3 linked regions of the Neodiprion lecontei genome follow. Each later gene encodes a partner of the first gene's protein in a complex. Links are inferred from orthologs where the notes say so. Each region holds a gene or a part of one and is shown in the gene's direction. Other genes may lie near its edges.

Region 1 (3,759 bases):
CTGACCATAAAATCTTGAAATTTGTCTCCTTGCCTCGTGAATCTATCTATGAGAAGAGGTAGTAAATTATTTAAGGAGTATTTATCATCAACATCAAGTGTTTCTCCTATTTTTAATCATTGAAAATAAATGTCTTTTATGCTATCGACAGTATTGATCAACCTACTATTTTCATCCGCGCCTTGATCAGCCGGTGTGATCCATTCGACACATTCAAACTCCTTCTCTTTGGCAAGTAGTTTAAAGCTAACGGTTTTTCCACAACCCGAAGGACCAGAGAGAATCAAAGCGCATGGCTTGCTCTTGATAGTTTTATATTCCAACCAATCGTATATTTCTCTTTGTTTTTGTCGGCTAATAGATAACTCTGAGGCTTCTTGAGGTTCGCAAGCTTTGAGAAGAGCCGGTAAGCTGTTTATATGTGTTTTTTTGTCATAAATATCAATCGTTCGTGACACTCGGTCTAGGGACGGTACTTCTGTTTCTATTTTCGGTCGCTTCGCAGGTGTCACCACATCTCGCTCACTCACGTCACAGTCAAAGGACCATGACATCCGACTACCTTTATTCTTCTGTAAATTCTAACGAATTTGAAAATTTGTGAGATGACTGTGGCACGTGATAAGTTTGGATCTATTATGACTGTTTTCTGTATTCAATGCTTATTCACCTTTGAACCGGACATGTCTGATTCATTTGCGGAAATTCCTGGACAGGGACTGTGGTTCGAAATTACTTTAGGGCGTGCCTAACTGGGTTCTAGATCTAAATACTTCCTGATTGTTACCTGCCGCCAAACTTCAAAGTGACAGAATGTTCGTTCTTTGGTTCATTCAAGTTATTCGCTTGTCTCTGCAGCCATCTGTAGCTAAATACAGGAACAACGTGAAATCGGCCATTTTTAAATACACACAGTGGGCATTGGCTATTGGCACCATTAACCTCTGTTTATGATAAACGGTTGAGCCACGAATAGTATTACTTCGCGGGTTGAGCACAGCAACGTCGCGCGAGACTTGGTGAGACGTAAACAAAAAGGTTGCTCAGATTAGGATGGAAGAAGTTTAGGAATTGAGGTTGAAGTTGCAGAATCCTCCAAGTACATACCTCTTGAAATAAACTTCCCAATTAATCCAAGATGTCTTTGGCTGACGAGCTGCTGGCCGATTTGGAGGAAAACGATGACGCGGACAAGTTTATGGAAGAGGCTGAGCCGGAATTTATTCCACCTGCAGCCGTTGCTAAGACGATTGAAGAAGGTCAGGTTTACTATCCACGGTCTTTGTTGCATATACATATCAGTTACCGGATAATTCAGACTTCACATTAAATTCGATACTTTATTACAGAGGTCAAAGTTGCTTCCGTTCGAGAACTCGCAAAATTGCGCGACTCTCCGCAGCTCCAGAAAGTCGTTTCTCTCATAGACAGCTATGGCAAAATACCAAGAAAGTCAGCCGACATCGTAGGTCCGGTTGAATCCGACCCTGAGTATCAGCTCATCGTCGAGGCAAACAATATTGCCGTCGATATCGACGATGAAATTGGTAAGTTTCCCGCAGATTGCAACAGCTTTAACACGCTCAATGGGTGGTTCATTTTGTAATTGCCAGTCAAAAAGTAGGTTCTGGTTAGGGCAATGTGACAAGTTTTAACGGATACCAAATTTTGCCAATATGTATAGGTCCCTAATTTTTCAGCAATCATTCATAGATTTACAAGGGATAAGTACTCCAAAAGATTTCCTGAGCTGGAGTCGCTGGTAGTTGGTCCATTGGAGTATGTCATGACAGTTTGTGAATTAGGGAATGATTTGGATCGAGCTAAGAACAATGAGAAGCTGCAGCAGTTCTTAACGCAAGCTACTATCATGGTGGTGTCGGTGACTGCATCTACTACTCAAGGGTGAATTTTCCAATCAAGTTTAGCATCCTGGTTAAACAATTGCTGACTATAATTTTTTTTCATTCAATAATCTACGTTATATTCATTAGCCAACTTATGACTGAAGAGGAAAAAGAGGCAATTTGTGAAGCCTGCAATATGGCCGTAGAACTGAATAATTGCAAGCTGAAAATATTCGAATATGTTGAAAGCAGAATGGCCTTCATAGCACCGAACCTTTCTATAATCGTTGGAGCTTCGACGGCGGCAAAAATCATGGGTAAGTGAGGTAACTGTGGAAAACAAAGTCACTGTATCAATTTATTATCTTGAAAATTTGAATTCGTTTTTGTCCATTTCAATTGTTACAGGGATTGCTGGCGGTTTGACAAAGCTATCTAAAATGCCAGCTTGCAATCTTCTGGTTTTGGGCTCCCAAAAAAAAATGCTTTCTGGATTTTCCCAGGTGGCTGCCCTCCCCCATGCCGGATTTATTTATTATTCTGACATAGTGCAGGACACACCGCCTGTAAGTGTTTCAATGATTTCTTCCACCTTGCAATCTGATCTATCTTGATTTTTGCTCAACTTGGACTTGCTTTTGTGCTCACAGGACTTGCGGCGAAAGGCAGCGAGGCTTGTCGCCACAAAGAGTATGCTGGCTGCGCGAGTCGATGCTTGTCACGAGAGTACGGATGGTCACATTGGCCAGGCACTGAGGGACGAAATAGAAAAAAAATTGGATAAGCTGCAAGAACCCCCGCCAGTAAAATTCATAAAACCTCTTCCAAAACCGATCGACCCTGGTCGAAAGAAGCGAGGCGGTAAACGTGTACGGAAAATGAAGGAACGATATGCGATCACAGAATTTCGAAAGCACGCGAACCGGATGAACTTCGCCGACGTAAGTCTTTTCTACAGTTCAAGATATCAGGCCGTCGCAGATTTCAGAAATCTTGAGAAAAATTGCATTTCGTTATTTTTCTCCCTCCGCAGATTGAGAATGACGCTTATCAAGAGGACTTGGGTTACTCCAGAGGGACTATTGGCAAAACGGGAACAGGCCGTATCAGACTACCTCAAATTGATGAAAAGACGAAGGTGCGGATATCGAAAACTCTCCAAAAAAACTTGCAGAAGCAGCAGCAATGGGGCGGCAGTACGACAGTCAAAAAGCAGGTTTCCGGTACCGCGTCGAGCGTTGCCTTCACCCCGCTACAGGTAAATTCTCACGTTTTTTATCTCTGGGATGACGAAAAATCTCAAAGTTATCAACGTTAAAATACATCAAGTCTCCGTCATGTTTTTATACTCACAACTCAATTCATAAAGTCTAGTATAGTTACGAACAGTACAATTATATTGATTATTGATTCTTTTTTATTTTTTATTTTTTCTTTTTCGTTAGTTTCTATGCGCTTCTGTATAATTGGACAATAAGTATAAACACTCAATTCTTTATCAGGGTCTGGAAATCGTGAATCCTCAAGCAGCAGAGAAGAGAGTCAACGAGGCGAATGCAAAGTACTTTTCAAACACTGCAGGTTTCCTCAAAATAAAAAAGTCATAGTTTGTGTTGATCATCTTCGCTTCGTCAACATTAAAAATAATGGCGCTCATATAATTCTACCATTTGGAGCATAAGTATGTAGGTAAGAGTAAATTGTCTTTTATATAAGGGAAAATAATGATGATAAAGATAACGACAGTCTTAATCGCATTATTCAAAGTTAGTAAAATTAGTTTATATCCGATGGCGAGTGTTCTTCGCGATTCCATAAATTTTATTCGACGGCCTATGTTTCAAGTAGATATACCGAGTGCTCTATTTACCTGCCCATCTGAGCTGACTTTGAGATTTTAACCTTTCGTCGA
Region 2 (3,759 bases), on another chromosome or scaffold:
TTACGCACATTGGAGTTTTATTATACTGAAGCTTGGTAGCAATGGTTATAGCATTGTTAGGAGGTTATTGTTCCCCATCTCACCGTAAACCCTTATCAATTGACTATAGTTGCTCAAGTAATCGTAATTTTTCGTAAATTTGTTCAGTCGAGCTGTAACTTTCGGAAGCTTCTAGTTTTGAATTTGAAAGCGATTCGATATATCTGAACACTTCGATTACTTTTACAGAATGCAGCAGGTTCAATACGAAGAGTACAAAGCAGCATTGGAAACACACGAAAAAGAACTGCTGTCTAATCAGATTGCGAAGCACTCTGCAAATTTGAGTTCGAGGAACTTTGTCACCGTCGACAAAGATGACAAGTTTCTTCATCAAGCTATCGACAGAGCAATGGATGAACAAGACAGTTTGATAGACCTAATATTGACACCGCAAAATGAAACCATACCGGTAAAACGTCCAAAAGATTCAGCTGTTGTGCTAGAAGAACTGCGAACAGTCAACAGCCAGTTGCGACTGTTAATCGGAACACTATTGAACCAGCTCGACTCTAGTCAACAACAGATTAAAGTACTCACTGAACAATTGAGAGCAGCGACAGCCCCTGACAAGGAGTCCCTCCACTCAAACACTGAAGATAGTTCAATAAGTCTTGCCCCATTGCCGCCGCTTGCCCCGTTGGAAATGCCGTCCTTTGACTTTGCCACTTCGTAATAGGGAAAATATTGCATCTTGGATGTGCTTAATATTTATCTCTTTAAAATCAGTCAAATTTTTGTCACAGTAAGAGGAAACAAGTATCAAGTGATAATCTCACAATAGTATTAAATATTTAAGTAACATGTGTACCAGTTTCGTTTTTTCTTTAATTTTACCACTTTGACCATCCGAAAAATACAAGTGTTGTAAAGGTTCAATTACTTACTTTGCTGAGGTAACAGTCAGTGGCGTACATAGTTGAAACACTGTTTAAGGCTTTACTGTGCATATACATATATTGGACAGGGTGCCCAGAATCCGGGAAAACCGAGAATAATCAGAGAATTTCGTCTATTGGGCAAAGTCAGGGAATTATGATGGAGAACGGTGAAAAACGTAATTTTTTATAAATAGTTTTCAATTTCAACTATGCTTCGTAAATTCAGCTAAGCTAACATTCGGAAATGATATTGTTCAATTTGTAATTATTTATGTGAAACGAAACCCCACTGTTCTTGAATCCAAATTTATATATTTCAGGTGCATAATTTCTGGAGCTTTTGGTCATAAAAGCCAACTAAAGTGACCTAAGGTTTATAGAAAAAGATCAGGGAATTTTTAATTTTTCGACGGGAAAAGTCAGGGAAAAGTCTAGAATTTTATTTGAGCAAAATTGTCGCTACCCTGTTGGAGTTTAAAAAATCAGTGTAGCGTGGTTGCAAATTTCCTGAGACATGCTTCTCGCACCTTAAGATATTCATAATGTCTTCTTTTTTAATTCGTGGCTATATCCCCTTAGGGCAAGTGCTAATGATTTGTTGCTTCACAAAACTTTCACAAGAATATTGAATACTCAGCATGGACTACAGTTAATCAATTGCAATGGCATTAGACAAGAATGCAATAATATGGTTATAGCTCCGAGTATGAATGCTGGACATAAGGGATATAAGTCTACCTGCATAAGATTGTGTGGGACTTTGCTTAATTATTTTGAACATTTTAAGTCGACAGTTTTCAACTTTCTCAAAGAACTCAAATCACACTGATTTGCATGTGTATATATACATACATATATCAGTGCCCGGGATGCCTCGCGAATCGTGCATGAAACCAATGTTAGAACTATACAATTTATGGACAAAGCTGGAGACCCCCCACCTCCCGAGTTTTCAGACCTGTAAGTACGATCGTGCTCTAGACTGATCTGTACCATCGGTGAAAAAGTAGTCTATGCCTGGAATAGCGTCCAGTATGGCTGTCAATGATAATTTACAATAACGTGACTGTGTAACACTTAATATTCGTTCGAAAAAAGATGAATTGATTGCAGCAAGTGAAATCACTATAATCAAAGAATACTTTGCTTTACTTTATAGCATTTCTGTAGACCGTTAATTCAAAACTTCTGTGAATGGTCGTAGCCTAACCTAGATTATAAACGTTATAAGCCGCATTTTGTGAAGTATTTAAACAAAATAACGTATTTATACATTTTTTTACTTGGATATAATTGAAATGTCCGACGACGAGGACCTTGTTTATGTAAAAAAGCAAAAAACTGTGCATTATGGATCCCTTGAGGAAGCTGAACGTGCCCGGCTCACAGCTACATCTGCAGAATCTTCAGATGAGGAAAGAGATCATAATAGGAGTCCATCAGATACGCCAACAACTGCTGCTGCCCTGGGAAATGTGCACATATCAAATGAATACATGGAACTTGAAGATGAGATGTCTAAAGACAGGCAAGCTTTGCTCGAAGAATTTGAGCGGAGAAAAAAAGCCAGGCAGATTAATGTTTCCACCGATGATTCGGAAGTGAAAAACAATCTGCGCCAATTAGGGGAACCAATTTGTTTGTTTGGTGAAGGCCCAGCAGACAGAAGGTCCAGGTTGAGAGAATTATTGGCTAGCTTAGGTGAAGACGCTATTAAAAAAAAACATGAGGACGAGGAGCGGCCATTGCATCAGACAGAACGAGATGCGGAATCAACTTGGTACCACGAAGGACCAGATTCCCTTCAAATTGCCCGCTCGTGGATAGCATGTAAGTATCAAAACGTATTGATTCAAATCAAAAGTTTGCACTGTAACAGTTATGTTTTTTTTTTTAGCGTATTCACTTCCCAGGGCAAGAGATCGGCTTGAAAAATCTAGAGAAGAATTAGAGCTTCCAGGGGCTACACGTACTGCACGTCGGCAGGAACTTCTGAAAAAATTACAGGCTCTCAGCATTTATTGCTCCCAAATTGGAGACAGCCGTCCCATATCATTTTGCCAATTCAGTCCGAATTCAAAATTACTGGCAACATCTTCCTGGTCTGGGCTTTGCAAAATTTGGTCTGTACCTGAATGCTCAATTGCCAGAACCCTCAGGGGCCATACCTGTAATGTAAGTTGTATTGTTTTCCATCCGAATGCAACACTCACTGAAGACATGCTGGGAGAAAATGCGTCGCCTACATGTGTTCTAGCAAGTTGTGCTTCAGACGGTAATTATTGACATGGTGAAGGACATGTATTGTTGACTCATGAAGAAATGCATCTATTTTGTAATTCGATAGCAGATTTTTTTATAGCTCACCAGAAATCTGTTCACATCAAAATTACACTGCTTATTCACATGAGAAAGTATTGCTCATTTGCATGCATAAATTCATCTATGCATTCTTAAATCGGTCATATTATCAGTCAGTGATTGACTTGCTCATACTTACAGAGTGGATGCTCAGCTTCTTAACTATAAGATTGTATTATGACTGGTCTGTTGCTTAGCTGATTTATCTATATAGTCATCTCTATCTTTATGTTCTCCTAGGAAGTGTTAAGCTGTGGGGTGGAGGCAAAAGTGAAGAGCCGTTAGCAGAAGTTGAAGGTCATGAGCCCCATAGAGTATCAAGGATTGCATTTCATCCATCGGGTCGCTTTTTAGGAACCTGTTGCCACGATGCTTCTTGGCGACTGTGGGATCTGGAACAACAAGCTGAAGTTTTGCATCAAGAGGGTCATGCCAAGGCAGTACATTGTATAAGGTTGATACTATTATATAGTTTTAC
Region 3 (2,752 bases), on another chromosome or scaffold:
CAGTCCTCCCTCTTCATTTCTTCTAACCAATGCTGAACGCGCAACACATCTTTCACGGGAAATCTACATATCGAATTATAATTTAATCCCTCAGTCAATAATACCCGAGTTTTCAATTTCAATTATAATAAGATCGGTTCATAATTCAAATATTGTGAATTTTTACTGACAAGATTCGTACGTTATAATACTCGTTAAATATAATTAGTAAATACTTCGTATGCTGACATAACCTCTGCAAGTTATCATTTGCAGAACGCTTCAGCGTTGTATACTCACTTGTGAAATGATCGCCCACGATATTTTGATTGCTTTGTTTTGCAAAAAACGCAGGTACTCATTGTTACCTCAATAATTGTTACTGTAATTTTCCGTCGCAATCGATTATATACACATACATATATCACGTATATATATATATATATATATATATCTGAAGTGACAAGAATCTGTACAAAATGGCTACCGTTCAATTGGCGTGACGGCACCACGCTTAATCCAATCCAGTGTACATATATATCAGTGGGTCAGCGGCACCTTAAACAGCAAAAACTTACGCCGAAAGCGCCAGTAACTTTCAGTGGATTACTATGGGATTACTGCAGATTACTGCTACTGCTACAATTTTTGCAGCCCATTAAATCCCACCTCAAGACATCAGGTTAGCTGTGCGCTTCCTTTTGGTGACTTGCGGTGCTATTTATTTGGCAACTCTGCGATTACACTGATGGCGTCGTTGCAGCGTTAACTGGTGAAGTGGAAAACGCTATAATACAAACAAACAAAACGATTTGTTGAAGTATTTTGCTTCTACTGATTACATTGGCCAACCTGTTCTACCCTTACCAACAATGGCCTCAGGACTTGAAAGTTACGTAAACCGTATCCTTTTTCCTATCCGAAGTTGTATTTATAATTTAATTACATAAAGGTTATGTTTCCTCAATGTTTACTAGATACTGTTTCAATAATAACTTCCGATGGTAGGAACTTTATCGTGAGTATAATATGATCTAGCTTTTAAAAAATTTTTTTCTGTGAAACGAATCGCTGTGGTGACGCAGTCGCGAACCGATAGCGTAGTTATTAGCTCGTGTGTGATTTCGGATAGCAACAGAATATCGTAATTTATTAAATCTGACGAGAGTATGACGAAGCCCAACTTGCTCTGGGAAATAACATAAAAAGTTGGATTTCACTGCACCATCTGATGGAGATGCTTTATACCAAAAAGTGTGTTCCTGTAAAGCTATGAAAATTTACTGGCTGCCAACCACGCTGTTGTCTACACAGTCGTTCTCAGCTGCCTAGGCACTGTGAATCTAGCCTTTTGTAGGACGAAAAATAATTGACTAATTGTATAACTCTTGTACATTAATCAGTCTTAGGAGAATGCTATAATTAATCTTGATTGACAACATTAAATGTCATTTACTTTGGCTATGATCACAGCCTACAAAACACTGATGTGAAAGTGCCACAGTCAGCGCAGTACTACATGCAATGTCTAACCAAAACATCCAAACCTTTGTTGTTTCATACAAGAATAATACCAAGAAGTGTATCCTTGCAATAAGTGGTGATATAATTACAGGAATACATTTCTTCAAATGTGACGTCAAAATTTTTTTTTGGCTATTTGTAGTCAACATTGGATGTAGCATTGTACTGAGTGTAGCATTTTCACATCAATGATGCGCAGGCGTCGATAATAATAAAAATCTTTATTATTTATCTATTCTATTACTCCTATTCATTAACATCATCGAATATTCTGAACTATGTTTATGTTTCAGGGTACATTGAAAGGATTTGATCAGACAATCAATTTAATTCTTGATGAATCACATGAGCGTGTGTACAGCGTGACGCAAGGTGTCGAACAAGTTGTATTAGGTCTTCATATTATCAGAGGAGATAACGTGTATGTACGCACAATAAAATAATGTACATTTTCAAGAATGTCAGTAATTCATGTAAACCAATATTCCTGTATTTACAGAGCAATCGTTGGTGAGCTAGACGATGAGATGGATGCAAGAATTGATCTTTCAGCGATCCGAGCTGAACCACTTAGCTCTGTAGCGCATTAAAATAAATTTAAAAAAATTTTAGACAGCGTTTTTCTGAATACTCCTTACTTTATTCCACATTTTACTAATTGGCAATCGTGTTCTTACAACATATTTGGTTTTTTTTTTCAATGCACTTTTAACTTTAAGGAAATGTGCCTGAATTGAATTGAAACAGGTTATTTATTTTTGATATCAAAATGGAAATAAAGAAAAAACAACTCAATTTTTCTCAGTGCCCTAACATGATTAAGTCATTGGAACTGTAGTTATAACACCGGGAGCACTGTTGGATCAAATAAAAATATGAATAAAACGGTAGGTTAATAAGATACTGCTGATTATTTCAAGTCTCGATCTTGTAATATTACCCACTAATACTTTACATAAATTATAAAACACTTGTATTAAAGTTAATTATAGGCATATTATTCTATAGATAACGATATTAATTTATTTTCGATTGCATGATAATATTATTTGCGATGGAAAAATGAGTAATGCTTATAGCCGAAAAACGATGTTATATAACTATATCTGCATAGATACAAACGTTTTAAATAAATTGTAGCACTGATAATTCTACATAGAATAATTAAGTTTCATCATATTTGATTCAGGAAATATACACTATTCACATATCACTGGGGGAGTCATTACAATATGTATATTTAAATATG

What was found.
Region 2: U4/U6 small nuclear ribonucleoprotein Prp31 (region 1) and U4/U6 small nuclear ribonucleoprotein Prp4 share a complex: the UniProt entries of both Homo sapiens proteins name them as parts of the U4/U6-U5 tri-snRNP complex. The link is inferred for Neodiprion lecontei from reciprocal best matches to the Homo sapiens genes PRPF31 and PRPF4.
Region 3: U4/U6 small nuclear ribonucleoprotein Prp31 (region 1) and U6 snRNA-associated Sm-like protein LSm8 share a complex: the UniProt entries of both Homo sapiens proteins name them as parts of the U4/U6-U5 tri-snRNP complex. The link is inferred for Neodiprion lecontei from reciprocal best matches to the Homo sapiens genes PRPF31 and LSM8.

Annotation. Positions count from the first base shown.
Region 1 is NC_060263.1:191,837-195,595, forward strand, and holds U4/U6 small nuclear ribonucleoprotein Prp31, read left to right. Parts: upstream 1-962; 5' UTR 963-1,138; coding exon 1,139-1,259; intron 1,260-1,349; coding exon 1,350-1,547; intron 1,548-1,700; coding exon 1,701-1,905; intron 1,906-1,994; coding exon 1,995-2,164; intron 2,165-2,255; coding exon 2,256-2,413; intron 2,414-2,497; coding exon 2,498-2,788; intron 2,789-2,880; coding exon 2,881-3,105; intron 3,106-3,349; coding exon 3,350-3,454; 3' UTR 3,455-3,587; downstream 3,588-3,759. Other genes in the region: cell cycle checkpoint protein RAD17, read right to left, coding at 1-46, 167-581, 671-685. UniProt on the Homo sapiens protein: Involved in pre-mRNA splicing as component of the spliceosome. Required for the assembly of the U4/U5/U6 tri-snRNP complex, one of the building blocks of the spliceosome.
Region 2 is NC_060265.1:31,360,900-31,364,658, reverse strand, and holds the start of U4/U6 small nuclear ribonucleoprotein Prp4, read left to right. Parts: upstream 1-999; 5' UTR 1,000-2,218; coding exon 2,219-2,750; intron 2,751-2,817; coding exon 2,818-3,195; intron 3,196-3,521; coding exon 3,522-3,735; intron 3,736-3,759. Other genes in the region: nuclear receptor-binding factor 2, read left to right, coding at 229-715. UniProt on the Homo sapiens protein: Plays a role in pre-mRNA splicing as component of the U4/U6-U5 tri-snRNP complex that is involved in spliceosome assembly, and as component of the precatalytic spliceosome (spliceosome B complex).
Region 3 is NC_060261.1:26,109,786-26,112,537, reverse strand, and holds U6 snRNA-associated Sm-like protein LSm8, read left to right. Parts: upstream 1-733; 5' UTR 734-851; coding exon 852-882; intron 883-956; coding exon 957-997; intron 998-1,796; coding exon 1,797-1,924; intron 1,925-2,002; coding exon 2,003-2,093; 3' UTR 2,094-2,114; downstream 2,115-2,752. Other genes in the region: THAP domain-containing protein 1-like, read right to left, coding at 1-63, 280-341. UniProt on the Homo sapiens protein: Plays a role in pre-mRNA splicing as component of the U4/U6-U5 tri-snRNP complex that is involved in spliceosome assembly, and as component of the precatalytic spliceosome (spliceosome B complex).